Danio rerio: one gene and its partners. The protein of the gene in region 2 purifies or fractionates together with the protein of the main gene of each other region. This does not show direct contact. Links are inferred from orthologs where the notes say so. Each region holds a gene or a part of one and is shown on either strand. Other genes may lie near its edges.

Region 1 (6,815 bases), on a different chromosome or scaffold from region 2:
GAAACCAGGGGTTCAGATTGCAGAATTTAGTAGTGTCTTAAAAGCCCCAAAACACAATAGGAGAAAATGAAATCACATTATAAACTAGATTTCTGTCTGAGAGCCTGCTTTAAATTCACCAGGCGCAGGCCAATGGCGCCCTCTTCTGGTTCTACTGCTCAAACTGCTTCTCAAACACGGTCAGGGATATTGGTGTCGTACTATTTTACCACAATGCTAAGTGAATCATTGTCCTTTTTTGATAATTGTTGTTTCTTTCAAACAGATTTACTTAGACTACAGTCTAAGTTTATATCACTATTATGGGTAAAATTGTAAGTTCTAATTTTTTACATAATAGTTTACTAATTTTTTACAGCTTTTACATTTTACTGAAGTGCTTTTACTGAACACATTTTGCAAGCAAACATAAGAACGGACCCTTGAAAACATTTGTCTCTGCACACTGCAGACACAAATATGAGCCCATGACTAAAGGCATGCATAATACTACTTAAAGTTCACCCCAAAAAGTTCAATTCTGTCATTTATTTACAATTTAGTTACATGTTTCAAACGTTTATGAGTTTCTACAGTTGAACACAACATTTATTTTAAATAATGGTGGAAGCTGACAATCCTTACCTTTTACAGTATTTATTTTTCTATTGAAGTCAATAGTTACAGGTTTTCAGCTTTCTTCTAATATGAATAGTTCAGATGCAAAAATCTCTAAAAGCTGTTATAAATTTCTTAATTTTTTTATCAGTCTCTTGTATGTAGGTTCAGTATTTTCAAGTTTATGGCACAGAATATACTCTTTTGAAAGTCTTTAAAATTAAATATGTCGACAGAAACATAGGGGTCTGAATAAAATGCTGATTTTGATGAAAGTTTAAGATGGCATTTAGAGGTTTTGCATCTAAACTCTTTATATATTCATATTTTGCGTTGTTCAACAGAATAAGGAAACTTGTTAAGCTTTGAAACCACTTGAAGGCAAGTAATATAGTGAGTAAATAGCAAATAGTGAGTCAATTTCTTATTTTGGGGTGAACTATAATTTACAATGGGTGTTTATTATTTGCAGCATTATTTGCCTATAAATGTTAGTAAATCATTTTCATCAGTTTTAACATTTGATAGCCTAAATAACACACTATTGTTATAAGGAGTATTTTTAAATTTCAACCATTTATTAATTTAATATTAAGTCATTGTTGCTGGTTAAATTGTTAAAACTTGTATACATCTTCAACTTCTACAATTTTTTTTAACATATTTGCAGGCTAACACTAACCTTAATAAACTTTTGTTTCAGTTGACACAAAAATGAGGCCATGATTAAAGGCATTGGTCTATTTAGTACTTGACTGTGTGATAATTACTTGATAATTTCAGCATTACTGATTTAAAGAGTCAATCAAATTATGTGTCTGCTTTATTTTGATGTAAAAATGTTATATTAAGTTTGCATTTAACCTTTAGCAATTAAGCATGTATTTATAATGTTATTATTTTTAATTACTGTAAGGATGTTTTTTGACACCCTTTTTTCCCAGTCCTGTCTGTGGACTTTACAAAACAGCCAGTCTCTTCCAAAACATGTTATTACATGTTTGTCAATTTGAACACACACACACATACACACACAAGCGTCATTTCCATTAAGACAACAGAGACATTGTTTTTCATTTGACATACTTTATTACAGTTCATAAATATTGATTAGTTTCTGAGGTGCTCAGAAAACAAACATAAAAAATTATTGTACTTTACTTACAAATGGTAAACTTAAGTACTCCTGGTTGATCATATTTACAAATAACAATGAGTGAAACCTCATTAATGAACTTTTTTTTTAGAAAAAGAAACTGCTTAAGTTGGACTAACTCAAAAGGAAAAAAGTCGATTTCCGTTCAATTTAAGAACAACAAAAAAAGTACAATATGTAGCTCAGAAGTCAGGCAGCTTTTTTATCAAAAGTTTAGCAGACACAACGTCCTGCTTGGTGAGCCAGTATCCCTACTGTACGGCAGTCGCGTCTCTGTTTTACTCCTATAATACTGAGTGCTCCTTTGAAGCGTATAGGTCCATGCACAACCTGGTCGATGTGAACAAGGATTTCGTCAGAAAGTAAAACATGTAACAGAGTGAGTCTCATGCGCTCTGCGTCTCTGTCGGACCGAGTGAAGTTTTGCGCTCCTCAAAAGTCCAGTCGGATCATCCTTTAACGGCACGCGGCCGGCCGGACGGTCCCGGTCCCCGCGGGCTCTGTCGCGCCAGATCGCAGACATCAAGCCCCTGAAGTTTGTTTATGTGGCTGAACTCAAAATGTCCTTCGGCTCTCCTCAGAAGGTTTGCAGCTGTTGTGTCAACATGAGCTGGCAGCCGCTGTTGACGTGGTTCATGACTTTCTGCTTGAGCTGTGCCACTTGCTCGCGCAGCATGTTGGCGGTGGACGCGAGCTCCGAGTTTTGCGACTTCAGGGTCTTGACTTTGTCCTCCAGCCGGGAGATCCTCTCCAGTTTCCTCTTCCGGCATTTGGACGCGGCGATTCTGTTTCTCATGCGCTTCCTCTCGGCTTTAATCCGCTCCTGGCTCTCCATGTCGATAGGAGAGAGCGGTGGGGTCTCGCCGGGCATCTCGGGCACCGTTTGGGGCTCCTCTTTCAGGGCCTGGAGGCGCGGGTGCTGGACGGGCAGCTGCGGTGGTGCGCTCGGGAAGCTCATCGCGGCTGGATTGGCCGAGCTGCTGCTGATAGCAGGGTTGAACGTGTTCAGATCCGCGTAAACCGGCGGATCAGCGCGCATGGCTGAGCTGTAGACCGCACCGCCCGCTATGGACGAGACCGGTGCCATGCTGCTGTTGATAGTAGTTTGGGGAGCCGAGGTGACGTTGGGCATGTGCTGGTGGTGCAGCTCAGCCAGTGCCCTCACAAAGCCCTCCGCGAACCCCTCCTGCTCATCCGTCACGTTCTTGGGACACAGAAACTGGGTCGGAGTTGGCGTCGTGGTGATCATGCCGTTGCTAGACTGGATGATGAGCCTCTCCAGCTCCGGTGATGCCAGTTTGAGAAGTCCCACGTCGGGAGAAGTGAGGATATCGCTGGCTTTGGCCCTCAGGTGGGGCTTTAGGTTCCCCGCGGGGTCGGACAGATTGAGCGTCATGTTGTGTTTCAGAGCCTTGTGGTTGTATCCAAAAGTGGCGCTGTCATGCTGAGAGAAAGCGCTGTTTAGAGAGTCATCGTAGAAAGTAGTTTCCATCTTGGTAGACATAGAAGGCAAAGCGAAACTTTTAGTTCAGAAGCAGTCTTTTAGGCGCTGTTAAGCACTGTCCGCGTTCAGTAACGAGCGCTGCGGTGTTTGGAACAAAAGCGAGAGGATTGGAAAAGTTCCTCAACTCCCCGTCCCGCGAGAAACTTACTGCGTAAAGTTATCGCCAGTGTCACGGGCTCGTCTCCTCCTGCCTTCCGCGGATAGAAAGTTCTTCCTCCGCCGCTGTCGCGCTTCTCAGACACCAGCAGATAAACAGTGCTTAGCCGAAGGCTTATTTATGTTGGTTTGAGTGAGGTGTTTCACTGTGGCGAGGTCTGTATACTCTGAGCTTCTCCAGCGTGGAGGCAAACCTTATCTGCTACCGCTGCCCCACTAAAAATAGAAATGATGTAATGCGCGCAGCCTCTCATTGGCTGGAGGCGTTTTACTGGGCGTGTCACAATTTCAGATAAGGCGCGTTGCCTAGACGACCACCCAGAAGATTCTACTCGCGGTGCCTGATGGGATGAGGTAATGCTGTAAAGCAGTGCATTGTGGGATTACGTATTGTTTTTGAATATCTGGTTACCCGCTTAGCTGTTTTAGACCGTGGCGGGATACAAAGAAGCAGAGTAATGTACAACGCGCCACTTTTAGAACTTAAACTTTACTATAAGTTTGAGAAGAAGAGGCAGAATAAATGTGTGCCGCTGTATGTTTGAGAGTTGACCAATTCTTGCGCGAGTTTCGCAAGACGCGGCCATTCTTTAACAACAGCAAGTTCCAAACACTCTCTGGATCCAGTTTAATGTATTGCATATACATCAGTAAGGTAAAAAATATATATTAGAAATACAGTTTGGAGTCAGTGAAACTAATTTCCAACCTTACAATAAAATGTTGAGGGAGATTTAAAACGAAAAAAAAATAGAAGAAATGCCTTCTGAAATAATAAATTAAATAAGCATAACTTGATGTTACTCATTTTGTTTGAATATAATGTTAGATTAGCTGATTAAAAGTATTTTTTTTTAATCAGTCGTTGAAATATATTATGAATTAATTAGTATTTGCTAATTTTACTCTTCTTCACTTCCAGCACTCCCTTGTTGGCCCCCTGGGGGTCCCCGAACCCTAGTTTAAAAACCTCAGTGTTATACAGGCATACATAATTTAATCTGGCACGAAGAAACAGGGCTATAGTCTGCTTTTTTATGCCAAAGTGCATTTGCTCCGTCAGCCAATGGTCTAAAAATGGGGGCGTTTCTTATTGTGGAGTGACAGCGTGCCACAAAGTCCAGCCGCCGTATCCGTGACAGTCCCTAGAGATCCTCTCAAAAGTGCAAACAACCCTGTTAAACGTCACTGCGTCAACCACAACCACAAACTGATCGAATATAGCGTGACAGCTGACAAGTGACGTTTCAGTTTACTTTCTGAGATTTTTACTGACGTTGCTTAAACGTATGTAAAGACACAATAGCTAGTTTATTTGTATTTATAACAACATTAGTAAGATAAATATACAGGTAATGTTGAGATGGACATTTGCAAGAATGGTCGTTTTTATTATTGTTTATTTTATTAATTAGTTTTTGTTATGAGTACATTAAAATATGGTTGATTCTACTGTTTTATAGCATATAGGTCAAAGTAAAGAGAAGACAGTTTTTTTGTGTTACTGTTACTCTAGCACTTATTGATGGTCTCTGACATGTTTCACTTTGTTACAACAGATCAAACACTCGAGCACAGTGCCACTGGATACAAAATATGGACTTTATACACTGTTTAACAACCTATTTATCTTGTGATGATCATCAGTGGTATTTCTATCACTTTTCTCATATATATATATATATATATATATATATATATATATATATATATATATATATATATATATATATATATATATATATATATATACACAATATAAAATATTTGTTATATATATATATATATAACAAATGCACAAAAATCAAATCCCAATACTTAATTATTTATTAATACTTTTAAAACAAATGATTGTTATTATCATACACATTAAAATCATCTAAGATCTGGCTTTTTTATGGATTATGCAATATTTACTGGAAGCCTAATTGGAATTTCTATTGGATTTTTATCATTCATAGTTCAAGTGCACAAAGGTCATACGAGGGTTTTATTGTAAATTAAAGGTCATGACCAGATTGAGGCCTCCAGCATCCTCTTTCTGATCACCGCAGTTGTCTGCATCACCGGTTCAGGCAGCAGGGGATGTCCAGAGTTACAACAGAGAGAAGTCAACCCTGTTTCTGTACTAGCCAGAAACTTGTTTGGGCAGCACAACCCAGACCAAACGTAGAAAATGGCAGCTTGCCAATGAAACTAGTTCCTCACGCTGCGACGGCTTGCTTCTTTCCTTATTTAGCTTTCCTCGTGTTCTCATGTCACCTTTCCTACTGGTGTACTTTGTTACGTGTTTGGCCGTTACGAAATCTAGGTGTACATTTCCTTTTATGCCACATGTTGTGTGCAGTGTCATCCAGCCTGTACAGTTGAGCTTAAAGTGACAGCTCATCGTTACCACAACATTACACTTTTAAAGTGAGACAATAAACTCTAATACATTTTTCTTTATTTATTTTTTATATATTTGTGTAGGTATATTCGAGAATGTGAATGTTTGTCACTATTAGATATTTGTTTCATGTGTGCAATATTATCCATTCCGTATAATTGAACTTAAAGCGACAGCTCATCATTACCACAACATCACAGTTTTACAGTGACAGTAAGCTCTAATCATTTTTTTATTTGTATATACATATGTAAAAATATATGTGAATGTTTATGTCACTATTAGATATGTTTTATGTGCATAGTTTCAAGCTAAAGGCAACAGCTCATCCTTATCACAACACAGTTCTACAGTGTGACAGTAAACCCTTATATATATATATATATATATATATATATATATATATATATATATATATTTATATATATATATATATATATATATATATATATATATATATATATATATATATATATATATATATATATATATATAATGATTATATTATGATTGTAAGCAAATAAGAAAATGCGAATGTTATCACAATTAGATAAATGCTTAATTTCTGCAATACTACCCAGACTGTAATTAAACTTAAAGTGACAGCTCATCATTACCACAACATCACATTTCTACAGTGCGACAGTAAACCCTATATAATTTTGCTTTATTTTTATAATTATTTGTAATAACATAAGAAAATATTAATGTTTCTGTCACCATTAGTTTTATGTTTAATTTGTTCACTATTATCCAAACTGTTCAACTGAGCTTAAAGCAACAGCTTATCAATACCACAACACCACAGTTTGACAGTAAACCTTGATATCGTTATTTTTTTATATACGTTGTTAACTATATACAAGAATGTAAATGCTTACATCACTATTAGGTATATGTTTGCATGTGTACAGTATTATCCAGAAGTTTAATGTGACAGCTCATCAACATCACAGTTTGACAGTAAAACTTAAAATAGTTATTATTTTTATATACGTTGTTAACTATATACA
Region 2 (6,516 bases):
TAAAATTGATCACTGGAGCAGCTCTGAAGAGAAGCGATTGAATTTGGTGAAGAACACAAATGTCTCTGTGATTTAAAGCCGCGTGAAACAATGCTGAAAGACAGGAGAAACACTACCGTGAATGATCCTGTTAGATGGATGGATTTATTGTAGTAACAGTAACTGCATCATTCTATTGCAGCAGGATAGGGAGATATACACATGAGATGTATTATTATGTCAAGGCGTATTAAATGTGTTAAAGTTGTAAAGAAATATAATGACAGTAATTCTTATTATTAAGCTTTTGCCATAGTTGATTTGTATTTACTCCAGTTTTTAATGCCAGCTATTTAGGATAGTATTTTTCATACCATTATCATATGAAACCACACAATTAGTCTGTGATTCAGCTAAACATTTAAACAATCATCAGAGATGTTGTTACTGAATATTGATACCATGAATTATAATTATATTAACCTCTTTCTCTGTTAAGATATATACTACCAAAAGATTAAAGTTTACTCAACAAATGTTTAAATAACTACTGAACATCAGATCTTTGAAATGCTCATTTGTTCAAAAAATGTTTGTTGTGATAGTAAATAATTACTTAACCCTTGTGTGTTGTTGGGGATGTTTTCATATACTCTGGGGTGATTTTGAGTCTTAATTTGGCCAAAGCTTTCTTTGTGTTTCAGTAAATTGAATGATTTTTCGTGAAAAATCCTATTTTTACACATATTTTGGGAAAATGCTTTATAGTTTGTCAAAAATATTTGATTGCAAAACTATGACACCATATAATCATGCAGTTTTATTGTTGCTGATTTTCCCTGTTGGGTAAAGGTAAGTTGCAATGCAAAAAAAGCTAGTTTCTGCCTTTTATATGGAGTATAGTGTGAGTGTGAATATGTGTGTGAGAGAGACCTTTATGCACTTATATTAATGTGTCTGAGAAAAAAATAAATAAAAAAAGCACCTCAGCTGTCAGAACATGATAAACATAGTAAGTGTATTCTACTTATGCACGCACGCACGCACGCACGCACGCACGCGCGCGCGCACACACACACACACACACACACACACACACACACACACACACACACACACACACACACACACACACACACACACACACACACACACACACAATAATTTGCTGTTTTACTCAATAGAAAGCTATATAAAAGACAGAAACTTTTTTGCATAAGTCTAAGTAAGGGGTTTTTGCTGGCAACTGATGTTCAACGCTAAAAATATATAAATATATTTGGTCTTTTCCCAACAGGAATGCATTATTATATGCTGTCATAAAAAGGATCATTATAATGAAAGTCAATGTGGCAAAAACAGCCACGAACATAACAAAAGTGTAGTAAATTTGATCCATTTACCATTTGATTTTTTACAACTTCCACACAGGAGTAAAAATTTGCTTTAAACTTTCAAAAGATATGGAGGTACAACATTTGTTCTGATAATTCTCTACATCGACCAAAAGGATTTTTTTTGCCCATCTCACCCATCTCTCAGATTAAGAACAGAGCAAATCCACTAGATGGTGCTGTGCATGTGTATGTTTGAGTTTACTTTGAAAGCTTTGAAAACACAAAGCTTATGCATGAAACAAAAAAAAAAGAATACCTTGGCCATTATTTATATTAGCTAATAATGTTTCAGACGTCAGTGCACAAATGTAAAATTTCAACAAAAACGGTTTACAAACATATCACAGAACTTTATACTGGCTGATTTTCAGAGGTCCCTAATCGAATGAGTCATTCTTGATTTTTATAAGTGATGTTTGTAAGGGATCTGTAAACATATGACTGCATGGAACGAAGAGGAGGAGAAAGCTAGCCTTTGAGCTCTCGGGTTTAAGTGCAGCCTGTTGATCATATGTATACGCTGCCTTGGGAGAAGGTAGTAGAGGAGCATACTAGTTCATCTGAGAGATAGTTTGGGGAATTCAGTCACATTTGCCTGCTTTCTTGATCGTTTAAGGTGTATCTAATTCAAAAATAAAAAAATTAAAAAACACTGCCAGATGATCAACAACACTCCTGCTAGTGGGAATTAATAATATTACAAGAGAGAACAAACATTTAAAAACTTAATATTGAATATTTTTCTGCCTTAAGAATTCCACCTTTTGCTTTTGTAGGTTACCAGCATCACCAGCTGTCTTTTATTTGTTTTATAGGTACAGTTCTTTAATAAGCTAAGACTGCTTCTTATGGAGGGCTTGTTTTAAACAATAGTTCTATTTAAAGTTGATAAATGATAAATAGTTGAATAGTTATATTCAAAGCTGTGACAAACAATCTTATTTATTTTTTATTACTGTTTTTTTAAATGCATCATAATTCTGATCAATGTATAAAAAAACTTGAACAAAAAAAGGTCTATCATACATATTAAATTATATATAAAATAAATTATTTGATGGTAAATAAATGGTGTACCATTATTATACATTACTCATTTATAACATATTTTAATCTGTTTTTAATCGAATTAAATTTTTTGAATGATTTTTATTTTCTTGTTTCTGTTAGTCTTGTTTATGTAAAAGCACTTTGATTTACCATCGTGTATGAAATATGCCATAAATAAACTTTTCGTGCCTTTTTCATTAATCTGTCATATTATAATCTATACATTAGTTCTTTTCTTTCTTAGGACCTTTTTTTTTGTTTAGTTTTTTTGAGTATGTCCTTTCAGAGAAAAAAAAGCACAGGTAAAAATATGGCAAAACAAATCAATATGCGCTTTATATTAAATAAATGATCAATATGCAATTAAAAATATCTGTGCATGAAAAGCAAGTCACCTATCTCTCTGTCACAACAAGATCTCTTTAGTGGAGCATTCTTTAGCTTGAATAGTTAGATGCACAGAATTATATTATACTATCTATATTTAAAAAACAACATCACATATCTAAACATATTCAGCTAATAAAAATCTGATGTATAGCAATATGGTAGATCTGTGCATCAGGTCTTGAAATAAACCTGAGAATCATTAATGTTAATAAACCAAAAAAGAAAACACGCTTATTTGATTTGCATTATTTTTTTGCACTGGTTCAACCATTTGTTATTTGCTATTTGTAATCATATTTACTTGTCAGAAACATAAAAAATAACTAAATTGTGGTTATTAACATAGCAATTTTTAATAAATGAATTGATGCATAATTTTAAAAATCAAACCAATACACTGAATTTGTGACACTTGTAAGTAATCACACCTGTAGCTTGATTTAAGTAGCTTTCTGTAACATCTGGCATTGCTTCACTTGGAGCTTATATTAAATAAATATGAGTTAAAGGTTTAGAACACAGACAGAGGATGGCCCTACTAGCTGAAAAAAGCATTAAACCAACAAAACAATAAAAACCCAGACTTACCACGCAGAACCATGTGGCTCCCAGGGGCCCAGACAGACCCAGCAAAACTCTGCTTTGCAGTTCTGGTTTCGGCACACCATATGGTTACAGCCACCATCTTTCTCTATGGTGACGTGGCATTTCGGACATTCCTGAAACACAAACATTTTGACCATTAATCTTCATTGAATGATGAAGGGAAGTGTCCACCACATTAAAGTGAGCTTAATCACTAACCTTTGTATTGGCTGCAATCCAGTTCGATGTCTCACTGTCATCGTCACATTTTTTAATCCATTTTCTTAACCACTGAGAAAAAAAAACAATTGAATAAATAATTTTACTGCAATAATTTGAGATACTAAAGTGATGTATTCATGACACAGAATATTACATCAAGATATAAGCGGAGTATCAACAGTGCTTATGAAGGGTTAAATGGTCTCTCTCAGTGGAAGATGATTGTAATCCCCATATGAGAAGCATAAGGGACTTGAAGCTTCCTTTGTTTTTGCCAAGACTACCCCCACAATAACAAGATGAGTCTCTGAAGAGCCTCTTAATGCTGAGAGCAGAAGAGGTGGCAGTCTGCTAGCTTTCTTTGTTCAGACAGAGAACACTTGTTTTCAAATCAACATGCTTTATAGTAAAATTTCTATGCTAAAAACTTTTTTCATCAGTGCTGTCAATTAAATGGCACTAAAATGGGGTTTCTACTAATACAACAATACAAAAATATTAGGTTGTGCACATTTAGGCCTTGGCATTCAAAATAAATAAGAGTATTTATGGAAGAGTATAATACAGTTTTGTGTGGCAGACATAACGGCCAAAACAGTGCTAAACAATAAAGACCACACATGGCACTGTTGACAATAAAATGTTCAAAAAAATGATGTTTATGTTTAAACACTAACCACAGTGTTGTGCAATTCAAGTTGTAGATGCAGATTTTAACCCTTGTGCATCCATACAGAAATTTTTGCCTTTTTCATTATTTTTTGTGACCGCTTAATGCAGTTAATGGAAATGGCTCAAAAGTTAACCACAACAAGGCCTTAACATACCTTACACTTCACTGGATCATGCCAATTCTCCCCACAGTTGAAGCTGCAAAATAATTAAAAGCCTATCAGCTGTATAAACATTATATTTGTTTTGTCATTCTAAATATGTAAAATTACATGGAAAGAAAACATGCACAAGGACTAGTGACTCTGATGCTAATGATTCTTTGCTTCCCAAATGAACAGGTAGCTGTAATGTCTGGATCAGATTACCGGTGGCGTTAAGGGAATGTGTCTCATGAGTTCTTGTGTTACTGGGTGGATCAGGCCTTCCCTGAGCTGGTGGAAGCCCTAAACCTGATCTGAGGTCAGAAGCATCTGATCTCATTAGCGGTTCAGTGTCTTACCAAAACTGTCGTCCACACTTGCATCTTACAGGTTTGGCATCTGGGTACTGTACTTTGACAACATGATGACAGTCGGGCGCAGGACACCATTTTAACAGTCGGTTACACTGCAGAAGAACAGATCAGATTTCATTTCAGCTTTCATATCTGAAGATTTGTGTCATAGAACGTTATTTAATAAATGTCTTGAGTAATTAAAAACAAGGAGACTATCAATTAAAAAATCTTAAACAAAAAACAATCCACTTTTTTAGAAATAGACTCATTTTACAAGTCCCCTAAAGTTTAACAGAATTTTACCATTTTACTTAGTCCTTTCAGCTGATTTCTGGCAGGAGCACATTTAGCTTAGCATAAATCACTGAATTGGATTAGACAGTGAGCATTTCGCTCAAAAAGTTTGGACCATTTTTCTACTTAAAGCTTGATACTTCTGGATTTCCATTGTGTACTAAGACTGAATTTTTTTGAGCAAGATGCTAATGGTCTAATCCGATTCAATGATTTATGCTAAGATAAGATAAAAGCGGCAGTTTTTAAATGAGCCTATTAACAAAGGGTGTATTCATTTTCAGTAAACACAAGAGTACACAATGCAATAATATCATGAAATGAAGTATTACCTCTACAAAACTATTGGTTATTAAATGCTGGTACTTCAACTTCACTTTTGAATCTGTAATCAGTCTCCTGTGAAAAGAACGGAGAGTTTAAAAAATAGGATTTAATAAACTTATAAAAGATTAGGATTTAATAATCACCCAAATACAACCACATATGTTTCTAAATACAATATTTATTCATTATAAGCTACGAGTGCATAAAAAGGATCAAACCCTGTACCTGCATCACAAAAGCAGCAGGGAGATCAAATGTAGGTTAAGACAGCTGTGCGAATCCAAAATAATCGAAGTGAATCAACAGGAGGTGCCGTTTTGTGACTCACACCTCCAGCAAGACAGTAAAAGTGTCCTACTTCTGAGTCTGACTAGGAATAAACTACAACTCATCGAGGATAATCATAATATACCTCATCACATACAATTGTATAGCGGAGCTAAGAATGAATTAAATTAGGCTTTCATATAACAATGGTAATGTGAGAATGAGACAGACTATTCTTAGAAGAATACTACATAAAGTAATTGCAATAACATGACTTTTGATGTGATTCTTGAAAAAAACTCCATTTGAATGTAAAGATTGCTTGGATAACCAAGTTGCATACAGAAAATTAGTGTTATATATAATGTTATCAAAATGGTCGCAGAAAGAGAGTGGAATTCCTTTTACTTAAAGGATCCATAGTATAAAAATCGGAATATACCTAGGCATAGTTCCACTGGCTGTAGTGTTTTCTAGTGAGATTAAAACAATAATAGTTTTTTTCCCCATTTTAAAGTATATCTAAGCTTGTTTTATAATTTCTATGTATACGGGACTCTTATTTTGAAAATGGGACCAGCTTTAAGGAAGAGTAAGTAGTTCTGTTCAGTTTAAAAAGTATCTTTTGGTTAGTTTAACGTCTATATTGGGATATTTTCTGCATGTGATTGTAATAAGACAACAAACACATGCAAACTTAATATAAGCTTTTAATGCACGTTTGTGGATTGTTTATGATTTTTCTGGATTGTAAAGATCCCAACAAACTTAACCTCCTCTGTTTATATGTATTGATATTAATTCCTGCCTGTGTCTTTATATATGATAAAAGCC
Region 3 (7,069 bases), on a different chromosome or scaffold from region 2:
AAAAAAAATAGACATAAAACTAATGTTTATATGTTTCCTATTCAATTAACACAGTCAAATAGCCCTGTTTTATCTGTTTTTTTATATTGTTTGATTTTGTAATCTTGAATTTTCTGTAATTATCAGTAGTAGGTAAATAAGCCTTTCAAAATAAACATTCATCACTAAGTACTTAGGCATGTAAGCATGTATCTCAACTTTCTTTCAGATGGTTGGAGAAGATGAGTCTGAGGGTTGAGGCGGTGTGCTTTTACCCCTCCGAGCTTCGAGGTCAGTCTGTAATGGAGTCTGCCATCTATAAGAACTGCTCTATAGAAAATGCTCATTCCTTTAATGAGACCTCCATCCCAACCAAAGCCCATGAACCCAACATACCCAACCCCACACAGCCCACAGAACCATCTTATGCTAAACTGAAACTGGCAAAGACAAAGATAGCTGCGACACCAAAGAAAACCAAATCTAAAGAATTCAAACCAGAGCGAGCTCTGAAAATGACCAGGCCAAACAAGAAAAAAAGAAGACGACCAAAAATGAAGTTGCCAATGATATGAGCAATAGGATTTCTTGATTTAAACGATATAGATATCATACTAAGGGGTAGTAGTGCTGCTGATTTGTTTACGGGTAATCCAGTGCACGAGTCCATATGCCCCCATTTTTTAAAAATGAAAGCGAAAGCGAGGCTGCGGTGGGAAGAAACCCAGAGGAATAGGATCAGCACGTTAAACATGTACTCCACAACATGCTGTGGAGTACAAACCTCTTGCTGTTTCCACGATTTCAAAGTGTAGATGTGGAGTAAACATTCAGTTAAGTTTAATTTAACAAAAAAAAGCACATTAGGCCTCAAACAAAACCACAATCTCTTTTAAAGTTATACGCTTAAGTGTCTTACTAGGCTTCAGTTTATGGAACCAGGTAAACACTGCGGGGACGCTTACCTGCTTCAGCCAATGTAACCCGGTGAGCGATAAAACAATGCAGTCCTCTCTAGCACACCATTGTGTTGTCAGTAATATTGTTGTCCCGGTACTGAAATTTAAAAAACTAACATTTAACATGCTAGCATTTAAGCGCCGTTGAGCACGTTTTTAAACTCCGCTGATCTGCGGTGAAATTACTGTTATCGGCGGTGATTGTCATCAGTTTACCTCTCTTCACAAGTGCAAACACAGATACACGGACACTGGAGCGTTTTAAAGTTCAGTCAAGTCATCAGCAGATCGCTTGTCTGCGTTTGCATTCTGTAAACATTGGTGAAGTGCAGTGAACTGATGACCTTTACGACCAATCACAGTCATTTCTGTTAAGCACTGGTGGAAAGAAAACATTTGCTAACTAGTGCCATTTCCCTTAACTTAGGGGAAAATAAGGTCCGATATGCCTTTTTATTTTCACCATGCATTCAGAAAGGACCTTCGGGTCACTCGGAAAGTGGTGAAATTATAAATTTGTGTTCACTGATAAGATATAAATCCAGGTACACAACAATACGCCATCTTGGATGCCGTTCCTGTGTGACTCCAGGCGTTACTTCCAGGTTTATTTCCACTGCAGACTCTCTTTCGCTTTTAAAATGGAGGCTGTGTGAAGTCTGTAGATCATATTTTTTCTTAAGTAACTATTGTCTTTAAATGCTTTAACTGCTTATGCTGGCTTGCCCACACTAAGAGATAACGATAAATATATACATATTGATGACTATATTGTTAGGATTAAGTAGTCGTACATGTGTGTTTTTTTGTTTAAACAATACAATTATTAGCTAGCTACTATGTGGTAGTAGCTCTGCAGATTTGTTTACAGGTAATTCTTTGGTTGAATCTTTGTTGAATCAAAATTTGTGCAATTTTAATGCATCCACACAACAATAGTGTTTTGGGGCCTCTGAAAATACTTGTGTAACGTTATATGCTTTTGTGTGTGTGTGTGTTTGTGTGTGTGTTAGTATGTATATGTATATGTATATATATATATATATATATATATATATATATATATATATATATATATATATATATATATATATATATATATATATATATTTGTCACGCACTTAACTGTATGATATTACATGTTAAGTCGGTTGAGCATTCCAGTAACGTCACTTTATATGTAAACAAATGTGTAAAATAGTGGAAAAACTACGAATTGTGTATAGTTTACATAAGTCTACATGGTAGCTGTTCGCAAAACTTGTCAAAAAAAAGCAAATATGAATATGTGAAATAAAAAAATATATAGATGGCATTTAATGTTATCTGTAAATCCTGGTAACATGTAATCTCCTGTATCATTTCAAAGCTCTGCACTTGCACTGCACTGATTTGATGTATGTTGAACACGGTCATAATTATATAATATGCAGGATTCCGACAATGTAGTTTATAATAGTGGTAGGGTATTGTAGATGGTACAAATCTGGAAACAGTGGGCCTTAGCTTCCAACAGGTTCCATGGTGTAATGGTTAGCACTCTGGACTCTGAATCCAGCGATCCGAGTTCAAATCTCGGTGGAACCTAATCTTTTAACTCGACTGTAATTTGGACTAGATTGTGTCTGATTAAACTGGAATAAAAAAAAATATATGAATGATATTAAAAACATCATAGTATACACAATTGCTTTAATTCACACGTTTACATGTAAAAGATTATAAACCGAGTAGCTGTTCACTCTCACTCTTTCTCGCGAGATCATCAGACATTAGCAAACATGGCGGCCGCGATGGATGTGGACACCCCAAGTGGAGCTAACAGCGGAGCCAGTAAAAAGCGATTTGAAGTGAAAAAGGTAAGTAATTGTGAAGTTCACGTTAATGATTGCTGTCAACTGTTTGTTCACATCCGTTTAGTCTCTTTAAAATTAAAATAACACTCTTTCACCGCGGTGTGTTAAACCCAGTTAGCATTAGCCGCGCTGCTCTTTCACATCATCATTTTAATCACCGGCCTCTATGCTTTTCATGTTTACAAAAACCTCATAAAGTGTCACAAAAATGAGTACAAGCTAATGTCAAGCAAAAATATGTTACATGCTCGCCCAATGTGCTTCTTATTTGAACTCCGATAAATTCTGCAGCGTAATCCCAGAGATTATTGAAGTAGGCCACTAAAGAACGAAATACAGCGCTGATCATTCCCAGACCTTGGCGAGTTTTTTAGGCAAGATTTGTGGACACTGCAGCCGCTTACAGCACATTCGATTCTAACCGTTTGAGGTTCATAGACGCATTCCGAACGCTCTATTCGATTATCGGTAGACGTCATTTACATGTTCCCAACGTTCGTTTCCATCACTTTTAGTCACCATAGTGACATTCCGAACATTCCATTTAAACACATTTACCCCCCTCAAAGTTCGATGCAAACATTTTAGTGAATTTCACATATTACACACGGAATTGAACATTCTATAAGTGTATACAATGTACAATAAATTATGTTATACTTATTACTTAAGTAAATTTTGACTTGTGTGCATCCTTTTTAAAAGCTAGGTACGGACATGTTTGAATGTTATAGACCAGGGGTGTCAAACTCAATTCCTGGAGGGCCGCAGCCCTGCACAGTTTAGTTCCAACCCTGCTCCAACACACTTACCTGTAGGTTTCAAACAAGCCTGAAGGACTCTATTAGTTTGATCAGGTGTGTTTAATTAGGGTTGGAACTAAACTGTGCAGAGCTGCGGCCCTTTTGGAACTTGACCCTTTTGGAGTTTGACACCTGTGTTATAGACAGATATTATACCTAATGTTACTCCATTTCATTTTCATATTGATTTCAACAATGTCAGCCATTGAAAACACCCTCCAAATGCTTGATTTTTAACAGTTTCTAGTATTGCAAACTTGTTTCAAATATTTGTTTCCAACAGTGTGAGGCGTTGCAAGCTCATTCTCAATGTTCAATTCCAACAGTTTCAGGCATCATAAACCCTTTCTGAATGTATATTTTTTGTGGAATATTGTAGTTGGTTTCCAGATTACCAATTTGTAATCTGGATTCAAAACGATCACCGTGAACGGTTTGAATTTAGATATACTTTTTAAAAAATGTTTTTAAAATAAGTTTTCATACTGTACTCGCATACTGTTTTCACAACTTATTTTCACTATGTTCCTTTACAAATGTTATGGCTGCTGGCTTCTTTTCTTCCTCATTATGATGTATAACTGAGTGGAAGCGCTGCTCATTGGTGGAGGATATTTAGGCTTAGTTTGTGTCTGTACATGTGTCATTAAGAGAAAAGGTGCTGTTAGCATTTTTAATAAAGATTATGATTATAAACTCTGCTTGTCTTGCAGTGGAACGCTGTGGCTCTGTGGGCATGGGACATTGTAGTGGACAACTGTGCCATCTGCAGAAATCACATTATGGACCTCTGTAAGTATAACAGCTGCTTTAGTCTTTTAGGTTTAGTCTAGATCAGGTGTTTTCAGCCCACGACCCCCAAAATAACAATGCCAGTGACTCGCGCCTAGCCGTGGGATGAAAACCGTGTTCAATGTATATCAAGGTTTGGAAAGGTCAAGGTTTTAAAGCCTTCAAAATTTTCTCCTATACCGTTCCTAAGGTATGAGTTCGATCTTTTTTTTACTTTTTATTTTTAGGACAGTAGTATCTCCAGAAAAGATATCCAAAGATGCCATTTTTAAATTGTAAAAATAATCAGATTTTTTTAAAACAAATGAAGACAGCAGAAGTCAATAATTCATTAGAATTATTTAGCCTGACATGTTTACTTCTCCAAAACATTTTATATGTTTCCCAAATTTACATATAGTGTGTACAAAGGGGAAAAGGGTTTTGTTTTGTACCCAGATATTTAAAAAGATTATATTTTAGAGCAGTTATCTCAATACTGTGATACTGTGAAATACTCAATACTGTGAGGTACTCAATACTGTGATACTGTGAAATTTATTTCCGAGGTAATCATACCGTCAGAATCTTATACTGGCCCATGCCTACTCACGACCCCCCAATATTCTCTAAGGTGGTGATGAATATTTAAACCTTGCACACATACCAGTAGGCCCAAATCTATTCATTGTTTAATTTTAGAGATTGCCACTGTGAGAGCTTGCTCCATGTTCTGTTGTAGCCTGTATTATTTTTAATGTATGTGAAAGCTGTAAAGGTGTCAAAGTTTAACCCCCACTGTGGGAACCACTGGTCTAGATGAGCTGTAGCTGATCTGTAACTCTTGTGTTTGCTTCAGGTATTGAGTGTCAGGCCAATCAGGCGTCTGCCACCTCAGAGGAGTGTACGGTGGCCTGGGGAGTCTGCAATGTGAGTATAATCACACACACTTTGAGCTCTGGGTTTGTTTGGTGCTGGTGTAATGCTGGTGTGTTTGTTTTTGTGTGTGTCTGCAGCACGCTTTTCATTTCCACTGCATCTCCCGCTGGCTGAAGACCAGACAAGTGTGTCCACTGGACAACAGAGAGTGGGAGTTTCAGAAGTAAGTCTTTTTGATTCTTCATTCAAATCAAGTCAAATTCACAAGCTTCGTGTAAGGGATAGGTCTCAAACTCAATTCCTGGAGAGCCGCAGCTCTGCACAGTTTTGCTCCAACCCTATTTAAACACAGCTAATCCAACTAATGAAAGTGTTCAAGAGTAGTCTTGAACCTTAATTATATGGATCAGCTGTGTTTGATTATGGTTGGAGCAAATCTGTGGAATCCCTCCAGGAATTGAGTTGGAGACCTATGATGTAAGGGATAAAGTACATCCAGACGGTTATCACAGAATCAAGCCCAACATTCTTTGTGGATTAAAGGCTTTATTCTGTGATGATGCCTGCCTGGTTGTACTTTATTCCACTTATTATACAGCTACTTGGCACAAAACATAAAAAATAGATTTAAAGCATTGTTCTTCCAATCTTCCATTGTAGAGTCAGAAGATTTGAATATGTAATGTAAGTTAATGAGTCAGCTATATTTTAGATGCAGTATTGTACTTTATTTCCTGTACCACAGCAGACAATATTTAAAACAAACTAAACAGTTTAGTTTCATTCCTGAATGAATCTATTTTTGAATGAATCATTTAAGTGATGCAATGATCCATTCATTAGCACAGATTTCTAAACCTATCAGCTGCTTTGTTACACTTGGCTCAAAGATGTAGCATTAGGGGAGACGACACAGTGAAATAAAGTCCAAAATAATATTTATCCTAACACAATTGTAAATAACAAATCAAAACAGCAGTATCTGTATGTTCAATCAGTGTGAAAAGCAAGTGAATGATTGTTGTCAGCGCTAGTGCATGGATGCAAAACAAAACCTAAAGCCCAAATTGGAGTGCAGCTCTGGCCAACTGCCCAAACAGTGAATGAACAGTGGGCCTGATAAACTTTCTCACTGATTTAAAATTTCCTCTGTTTCCCCACACTCAAGTGGTTCTACACTTAAATTAGTTTTTCTTTCTTCTTCTCGATACAAACAAGATAATCTGAAGAATTTAGGGGAAAAAACAAGCATTTACATCTATAGTATGAACAAAAATAAAATAAAAAACACTATGGAAGTCAATGGCTGCTTTCCACCAACATTTATCAGTAAAGCTTCTTTTGTTTTCAGCGGAAAAAAGAAACTCAAACGGGGCTAAAAGTAGAGGATAACACATTTTCATTTTTGCATGAACTATTCCATTAAGACAGGAGCCGTGTCTGAAATTGCTCCATATTCACTAGATGTGGGGTGTACACCATTTGCATTGCTTTCTAATGTCTTAATGAATGGCTAATGAAGTATTTCTCTACATTTATTCAACACTTTTTATCCACAGACAATGGTGATTTTGAGTGTTAATCTGATGTACATCTAAAGCTGTAAATACTTACAACTCAATAAAGCATAGAAAACAATGTCTGATGAAACCAGTACAATGCCAAACAAGCACATCATTATAATTGTAGATTAGATTTTCCTACAGAAAACATGTAGGAAATGATTTGCTCAACAGGCCACTGTATAAAATAGATTTCTGAAAGTGAATGAGGAGGAAAAAGAAAACCTTTCTGCCAGAATGTTTCATTAGAACAATAAAGT

The links.
Region 1: the proteins of arih1 (region 2) and jun purify together in Homo sapiens (affinity purification with mass spectrometry; 3 studies listed by BioGRID and IntAct, counting the BioPlex papers as one, with this or other methods). This does not show direct contact. The link is inferred for Danio rerio from reciprocal best matches to the Homo sapiens genes ARIH1 and JUN.
Region 3: the proteins of arih1 (region 2) and rbx1 purify together in Homo sapiens (affinity purification with mass spectrometry; 3 studies listed by BioGRID and IntAct, with this or other methods). This does not show direct contact. The link is inferred for Danio rerio from reciprocal best matches to the Homo sapiens genes ARIH1 and RBX1.

Annotation. Positions count from the first base shown.
Region 1 is NC_133195.1:16,776,586-16,783,400, reverse strand, and holds jun (transcription factor Jun), read right to left. Parts: upstream 3,527-6,815; 5' UTR 3,258-3,526; coding exon 2,331-3,257; 3' UTR 1,667-2,330; downstream 1-1,666. UniProt on the Homo sapiens protein: Transcription factor that recognizes and binds to the AP-1 consensus motif 5'-TGA[GC]TCA-3'.
Region 2 is NC_133193.1:20,273,455-20,279,970, reverse strand, and holds part of arih1 (E3 ubiquitin-protein ligase arih1), read right to left. Parts: intron 5,488-6,516; coding exon 5,421-5,487; intron 4,905-5,420; coding exon 4,798-4,904; intron 4,494-4,797; coding exon 4,451-4,493; intron 3,693-4,450; coding exon 3,621-3,692; intron 3,536-3,620; coding exon 3,405-3,535; intron 1-3,404. UniProt on the Homo sapiens protein: E3 ubiquitin-protein ligase, which catalyzes ubiquitination of target proteins together with ubiquitin-conjugating enzyme E2 UBE2L3.
Region 3 is NC_133178.1:23,846,968-23,854,036, reverse strand, and holds the start of rbx1 (E3 ubiquitin-protein ligase RBX1), read left to right. Parts: upstream 1-2,684; 5' UTR 2,685-2,719; coding exon 2,720-2,797; intron 2,798-4,310; coding exon 4,311-4,389; intron 4,390-5,227; coding exon 5,228-5,298; intron 5,299-5,384; coding exon 5,385-5,470; intron 5,471-7,069. Other genes in the region: chadla (chondroadherin-like protein), read left to right, coding at 209-554. UniProt on the Homo sapiens protein: E3 ubiquitin ligase component of multiple cullin-RING-based E3 ubiquitin-protein ligase (CRLs) complexes which mediate the ubiquitination and subsequent proteasomal degradation of target proteins, including proteins involved in cell cycle progression, signal transduction, transcription and transcription-coupled nucleotide excision repair.